2 linked regions of the Callithrix jacchus genome follow. The protein of the gene in region 1 purifies or fractionates together with the protein of each later gene. This does not show direct contact. Links are inferred from orthologs where the notes say so. Each region holds a gene or a part of one and is shown on either strand. Other genes may lie near its edges.

Region 1 (3,825 bases):
TACAATCTCCCCCTCCCGGGTTCCAGTGATCTTCTGCCTCAGCCTCCCCAGTAGCTGGGACTACAGGTGCGGGCCACCAGGCCTGGCTAATTTTTGTATTTTTAGTAGAGATGGGGTTTCACCATGTTGTCCAGGATGGTCTCCTTCTCTTGACCTCATGATCCATTCACTTTGGCCCCCCAAAGTGCTGGGATTACAAGCATAAGCCACCACACCCAGCCCCTGTGGCTCATTTCTGAGAAAACCGATTATGCAGTCCACAGTTCTGTGTTCATGGTGGGCTACAGATCTTCAGTTTAGGTGATGTTTAATATTAACTTGGTTCTTCCACAATATGATGGTGGGAAATAACTTCAAAAGAAGTTCTAAAAATGCACTGAGTTCAATTGTAATAATTTTAAGCCTTGAGTTTGTTTTCCATTAATCACTTACTATTTTTTAACAAGTCAATTAAGATGCACTTTTATCCTGACCAAGCTCCCAAATGACTTGAGCTCATTTCTCAAACAGTCTTTAAAAGTCATACAGGATTGGTTTGGTAAAGAAAGCTTTTTTTTTTTTTTGAGATGAAGTCTCGCTCTGTCGCCTAGGCTGGGGTGCAGTGGCACGATCTCCACTCACTGAAACCTGTGCCTGCTGCGTTCCAGAGATTCTCTTGCCTCAGCCTCCTGAGTAGCTGGGACTTCAGGTACCTGGCCACCACGCCTGGCTAATTTTTATATTTTTAGTAGAGATGGGGTTTCACCATGTTGGTCAGGCTGGTCTCAAACTCTTGACCTCAAGTGATCCGCCCACCTTGCCCTCCCAAAGTGCTGGGATTACAGGCATGAGCCACCATGCCTGGCCAGAAAACAATCAATACTTTTTCACTATTGTGACTGTCAGTATTTAGAAAGGCCTGCAAATAACTGTTCTTATTTTCCCAACTCACAGGAGCCAACACGTCGTGTCTCAAGATCCAGCTTCTCTTCTAACCCTGGTGAGTAGCGGTTGGGTTTTGTTCTGGAATCCTGAAAAATCAGGTCTTTGTGAAGCATAATGGCAAAGAAAAGGCAACGAGAATGCAAGTGCTAAACATCTAGCCTGTCAGAAGTGGAGGAGGTGTCATTTAACATGTCAACAACAGGCAGATGCCTAACTCTTTCCCTTGGCGACTGATGGGGTGCTGTGCCTAGGAGAGACTCTAGGTATGAGAAAACCTAGAGCTGTTCAGCTGCCAGCTCAGGTCTCAGTGGTTGGATAGCATGTGATATTGCATACTGGTTATTGGCGCTAATGTGATTTATTTATTTGTATTATAATACTAATATCTTGAGACTTGCAAGTTTTAGACATTAAATAATCTGTAGGCTAAGTAAAAGCTAGCTTATAAGACAATCTGAAACGATTGAAATAATTGAATTCCACAAATGTTAACCATTGAGAAAATGTTGAACTTCTGTTTCTTATTTCATAATTCATTGCCAAGATGGGAAAGCTGCAGATTCCAAGGCGTATTTAAAAATCACTGAAGGAAAAGTTTCAGGAAGTCCTCAGGTACATACCAAGACTGTCAAAGAAGACAGTACTGCGGATGACTCAGAAGGCAGTGTTGCCCAGGAAACACCTGATGGTCACTCCTCAGAACATGCTGGACATAATGGCAGAAATGCAGCTCATCGCATTTCTGGGGATTTTAGAGAAATTTCCAGGGTAAAATTAATGAGCCATTGTGGAGAACTGAAGTCTCTTTCCACCACACAGTGTCTTGACGATAGCCAAAAAAATGAATCTCCCTTTAGGAAGCTATATCAGTCAATGAAGAAAGAGCTGGGTATAAAATCACAAAAAGAAAATGTGCCACAGTATTGTAGAAAATCGGGATTACAAACTGATTACACAGCAGAAAAAGAAAGTGCTGATGTTTTACAGCAGGAGACACAACTGTTGGTCTCATGTATGTCAAGACCGAAATCTGGTGGAGGCAGCCACGCCATGGCAGAGCCTGCTTCACCTGAGCGAGAGCTTGCCCAGGCCAAGGGCAAGGGAAGAGATGTGGAGTCTGTTCAGACTCCCAGCAAGGTGGTGGGTGCCAGCTTTCCTCTCTATGAGCCGGCTCAAATGAAGACTCCTGAACAATATCCACGGCAACAAAATTCTCCACAAAAACATAAGAACAAAGACCTGTATACTATTGGTAGAAGAGAATCTGTGAATCTGGGTAAAAACAAAGGCTTCAAGGCTGGCGATAAAACTCTTACTCCCAGGAAGCTTTCAGCTAGAAATCGAACACCAGCTAAGGTTGAAGATGCAGCCGACTCTGCCGCTAAACCAGGAAATCTCTCTTCCAAAACCAGAGGAAGTATTCCTATAGATGTGGAAGTTCTGTCTACAGAAGCCGAAATTCAAAATGACCCCCTTTTAACTGTGTGGCTCACTGAAGTTGAAAGAAAAATCCAAAAGGATTCCCTCCATGAGCCTGAGAAAGTGGGTGTCACAACTGGACAGATGTGCCCTGAGTTACCTGGTCTTAGTGCAGTTGATATCAGCAACTTTGGTGATTCCCTTAGTAAGTTTATTTCATTGTAAATTTATTTTTTCTAAAAGATGAACACCTTCTGTTTAGCCATGAATCGGTGAGACCTTGATTCATTCAGTAGTGACTGGCGTTGTGGAAGAGAGTGTAAGCACTTATGGCACAGGGATAGGACAGACATGCGCACTGTTTTCCCTGATAGCTTAGTACCGAAGGCCTAGGTAATTACAACAAGGAATGACAGGAGGCGGAGGTTGTCAGGGAAGCAGGAAGCAGGGGTTATTGAAGGAGGTAGGGTGGCCCCCGAGATATTCCATTCTCCTCCATCTGTCACAAAACAGAAAAGAGAATACTCATAATTGCTTTTCACATGGAGTTGAATTCTGAACTACAATCAACTGTGTCATATGAGTTTGGTCATTTGGAATAAATCACTGGAGATCATTGAATATAGTGGTAGTTCTCAAGTGTTTATACTGTTTTCAGAGTATCCTGCAAACGATTTACTGTAAACACTGGACTCTACCCATGAGTTTATATGCCAGGCAAATTTCTAAATGCTTTGCAGCATCAACACTTGATTCCTGGTGCAGTAGGAGTGCTCATGGCTAGGTTTTCTCTTTAGATCTATGTCACAGATGAGGAAACTGACAATCCAAGACCACCCAGTGAGCGGCAGAGATATGACCTTGATAGCAGGTGTGGTAGCTCCTTGGGAGCTTCCTATACTCCTTGGGATTGGCTTTTAGAAGAAAAGTTGTCCAGGCCATGGATGCAGTATTCGTACTATCAGGCTCTGTTTCTGCAGGTGGCCCATAGTGGTGGGGCATGAGGCTATCGATAAAATAAGGCCTGTAACATCAGTCTTAGTGTTCCACCACGCCTCATAAAGGGGAAGCATCGCTTAGACAAGGAATTTATGTTAGCTGCTGGCTCAGGAAGATGTATAATTGAGGCTGGACTCCTGTGAATTGACTCAGAACCACCTGGAGGAGTTTTCACAGCTCGTGTATTCTGGTCACTGGGTGAAGCCCAAGCTCATGTCTTTAGAGAGCTCCCTCCGGCTGTCATCCCCCTAATCCAGGGTGAAAGCTACTGCTTCATGCTCCTCTTTCATGTGTCCACACATAATGCTTGATCGTTTTAAAGAACGCCTCTGTACTGTCCAGTGGGAACTGCACGTCTTAGTGGCGTCTCCTGCAGTCCTTTAGGAACTCTTAGTGGCTTAAGCTTCAGCCGGGTCACAAGAATGGAGGTGTGTTGTACGTGCTATGTTTCTGTGACTTTACACTGATTAGTCTTCAGTGCTA
Region 2 (3,925 bases), on another chromosome or scaffold:
TAAGCTGCATCTTTTTTTACTTCTAGTGCTTTTGTATTCCTTGTATCTATGCTCCACAAAGATACAGCACACCTTACTTACATCTTCGTGCCTAACGACTTTGCTAGTTCCTTCTTATTGCCTGGAAAGCCATTCCCACATTTCTTTGACTACTTCCCATACAAACTTAAGGCTCAATTGTGGCTTTGTGTCTCCGGGTAGATTTTAGAATCCTCTTATGGACAGAGTGTCACTCCTCTTGACCTTTTAACATCTGTGCACTTCCGTGATGACACTAAGTGCATGGTATGGATTCCAGTTTCTTTTTAAGTTAATGAATGTTTTAATTTTAGGAATGATGTCTTTGTGTACCTTTTGTATAACCAAGATATTTAAATTTCTGGGGCTATTAATTGGGGCAGGCATGGTAGCTCACACCTGTAATCCCAGCACTTTGGGAGGCTGAGGTGGGCGGATCACGAGGTCCGGAGATCCAGACCATCTGGCTGAACAGTGAAACCCCCATCTCTACTAAAAATACAAAAAATTAGCCAGGCGTGGTGGCACGTGCCTGCAGTCCCAGCTACTCAGGAGGCTGAGGCAGGAGAATTGCTTGAACCCAGAAGGCGGAGGTCGTGGTGAGCCGAGATTGTGCCATTGCACTCCAGTCTGGGTAACAACAGCGAAACTCCGTCTCAAAGCAAACAAACAAACGAAAAAAAACTATTATCTGATACTCAGGGCCTTAGTCTTTTTGCAAGACAAAGCCTCATACCACACAAAAAAATCTATTGAAAATAATATTTAATAAGAAAACAATAAATAAAATTTAAAATGCTGTCAGCCAAAAGATAGGAAAAGTAAAAAATAAACTTTAGGTGTTCCTAATATCTTAAAAAGAAAGCCCTGATCAAAGAGAAGAGAAACAGAAATTCTAACAGCATGGTAAAGGGAGGGTAGAAAAAGAACAGGGCAAGTCACTAAAGTAATTGTCTTAGATAGTGAGATAATATAGAAGTGTCATAAATAGAAGATAGCAGATTGTTAATTACCAGCATACACCTAAAAGGTCTGATCTGTTAAGTGACAACTTTCGTCAAATTTGACTTAAGAAATATAAATACATGTTAACAAAAGATGAAAAAAATTGCTAAAAATTATCTTGCAAAGAATCACTAAAGAAAGCAAGTTTATGCTTGTGTAAATTTAAATATACCTTAAGCCCAAAGGTAACTTCAGATACCTTATAATGATAAAAGGTTCAACTAGGAAATTATAAGTTTTAGTTATAAATTTATCTAATTTTGCTACAAAGCATTATTGTGAGAAAAAAAGAAAAAATAATAAAATAAATGCATCTAATTTATCTAATGATATTATTATTTTATAGTGCTTCGTGGTACTATAATTATTAGTATATATTTCTCTTTATATACACGCACATGCACCGACATAACTACACACACATATATGAAATCTGTAATGATATGTTTGAACATAGTAAACATTTATCTAATAATACATAAAATTCTGAAATCAGCATTTTAAAATGTCACATTCCACTATACACATATATTTCTATGTGCGTACACGTTTGTATAAATGATTATATATACATATAATATACGTGTGTGAATATATATTATACATACACCTAATATATATGATTGTGAGAGGACTACAAGGAAAAACATAGAAGATCAACATACTTATGAAAATATGAAGACACCACATACCTGAATAACTGAAACTGGAAAAAGTTTTCCACTGTATGTGTACATTTGCTCTCATGTTTTTTTAAATTGGGATGATATCACATAATACAGCTCTATGCTCAGATGTGTTTTTTACTTAATATTCTTTCGTGATACTTTTTTCATGTCACTATCTTGAGAACCCACCACAGCTACTGAGTTTCCAACACTTCCTCTGGTAAAAATAACCAAAACCTTCTTCTAAATATCATTGAATGCCAATACATACTCAGAAAATTAGTTTTAAAATCTGCAATGGTGGCCGGGCACAGTGGCTCAAGCCTGTAATCCCATCACTTTGGGAGGCCGAGGTGGGTGGATCACGAGGTCAAGAGATTGAGACCATCCTGGTCAACATGGTGAAACCCCGTCTCAACTAAAAATACACAAAATTAGCTGGGCATGGTGGCACGTGCCTGTAATCCCAGCTACTCAGGAGGCTGAGGCAGGAGAATTGCCTGAACCCAGGAGGCGGAGGTTGTGGTGAGCCGAGATCGCGCCATTGCACTCCAGCCTGGGTAACAAGAGCGAAACTCCGTGTCCAAAAAAAAAAAAAAAAAAAATCTGCAATGGTTGGCCAGGCGCCGTGGCTCACTCCTGTAATCCTAGCATTTTGGAGGGCGGAGGTGGGTGAATCACCTGAGGTCAGGAGTTCAAGACCAGCCTGGCCATCATGGTGAAACCCCCATCTTAAAAAAAAAAAAAAAAATCTACAGTGGTCAAAATGCATTTTCTCTTGTTCAGTCCTCAGTTGTGGTGGCATAAAAGAAGCCTGTTATCTTCCTAAGTAAGTGAAGGATTTATATCAAGCAACTCAGTTTTCACTTTTCTGAAAACCCAACCCTATTCCCATCCTCCATGACCCTGAATAACCGATACTGATTGTCCCCTTGCGACTCTGGGGACTTCAAAGAAGTAACAAGACCTTATTTACAAAACTAGCAACAGTACTCACCTCACTGGAAATTTTTCAACAGTGGTCCAGATCTTGAGATTTTCAGAAATGCGGGAATCAATGCTTATTTTGTTCAAGCGAGGAGATAAATCAGTAAAGGTCCCAGAAACAGAACTGCAGGATGTTGTAATTTCCTGAAATGCTAAGAAAATGAAGTATTTGCAAAGATAACAAGAAAAAAGGGCCTTGGTTAAGTCGCTGAGTAATCTGACTAGTGCCGGCTCTCTGCTGCTCTGCTATTGCCCCAGAGAAAATGGAGTTAGGAAACAACATGGAAACTCCTCCCACTACTGTTTTTAGGTTTCGTTTCTGTTAGTCAGAGAAAAGGAACAGTTTCCTTTTGAAGAGGGCTGAAGTGTGTGGTTAGAGCAAATGGGGGATGAGAAATTACTTTCATGGGTACAATGAACATTTTTCCCGTGCTGTGTACGCTAAAAGCTCTGACAGAATTGCATTTGTATCTCATAAATGTATATAAATACAAATAAATCAGTATATATATATATATATATATGTATTTTTTTTAAGAAAATTTAACAGCTGAAAAGAGTTTCAACATTAGAACTTTCTTACCCAGCAGACTTACATGTGGGTCCTTAGGGACCTATATTCCCTTAAATGATGCTCAGATATAAGCGAAGCAGGTGGCTTCTCCCTCCTTTCCTGTGCAGAGTGGCAGTGGTAGGAGGAGATCTTGGTAGAAGTGACTATCACTACCAGTGCTTTACTGCATCTCCTGGATGGGGAAATGTCTGGTATAAAATTGCTATTTGTTTAAATATTACCTGAAGTATTCATCTAATTGTTAATAGTTGACACACCTGGGGCTTTCCAGATCAGGAAGTCGTTATGAATATGTAAATTGTTGCTCAAATTTATATAAAGGAGTTTAACACTAGCTGTCCTTTTGCCTATGACTAGGTTACTTTACCTCAATGATTAGATTTATGATTACTCATGTTTTCTGCATTATTCATGGGTAAACACAAGAGGATAGTAGGGCTCAGACCTTGACAGCAATGAAGCCTTGAAAATCCTGGAAAATGCACTGAACTTCTGGTAGCAAAGGGAGCCTGTTTAATCCTTTGCTCAGCAATGTGTTTTTCTCTGTAAAGGGCAGCGGGTGCTCTTTAGAGTGCTGTAACCCCAGGATGTCAAATAAACGGCATCATCTCCGGGCACGGTGGCTCAAGCTTATAATCCCAGCACTTTGGGAGGCCGAGGTGGGTGGATCACA

Evidence for each region.
Region 2: the proteins of MKI67 (region 1) and IFI16 purify together in Homo sapiens (affinity purification with mass spectrometry; 3 studies listed by BioGRID and IntAct, with this or other methods). This does not show direct contact. The link is inferred for Callithrix jacchus from reciprocal best matches to the Homo sapiens genes MKI67 and IFI16.

The regions. Positions count from the first base shown.
Region 1 is NC_133513.1:121,413,490-121,417,314, reverse strand, and holds part of MKI67 (proliferation marker protein Ki-67), read left to right. Parts: intron 1-933; coding exon 934-979; intron 980-1,468; coding exon 1,469-2,548; intron 2,549-3,825. UniProt on the Homo sapiens protein: Protein that associates with the surface of mitotic chromosomes and acts both as a chromosome repellent during early mitosis and chromosome attractant during late mitosis.
Region 2 is NC_133519.1:19,004,705-19,008,629, reverse strand, and holds the start of IFI16 (gamma-interferon-inducible protein 16), read right to left. Parts: upstream 2,924-3,925; 5' UTR 2,689-2,923; intron 1-2,688.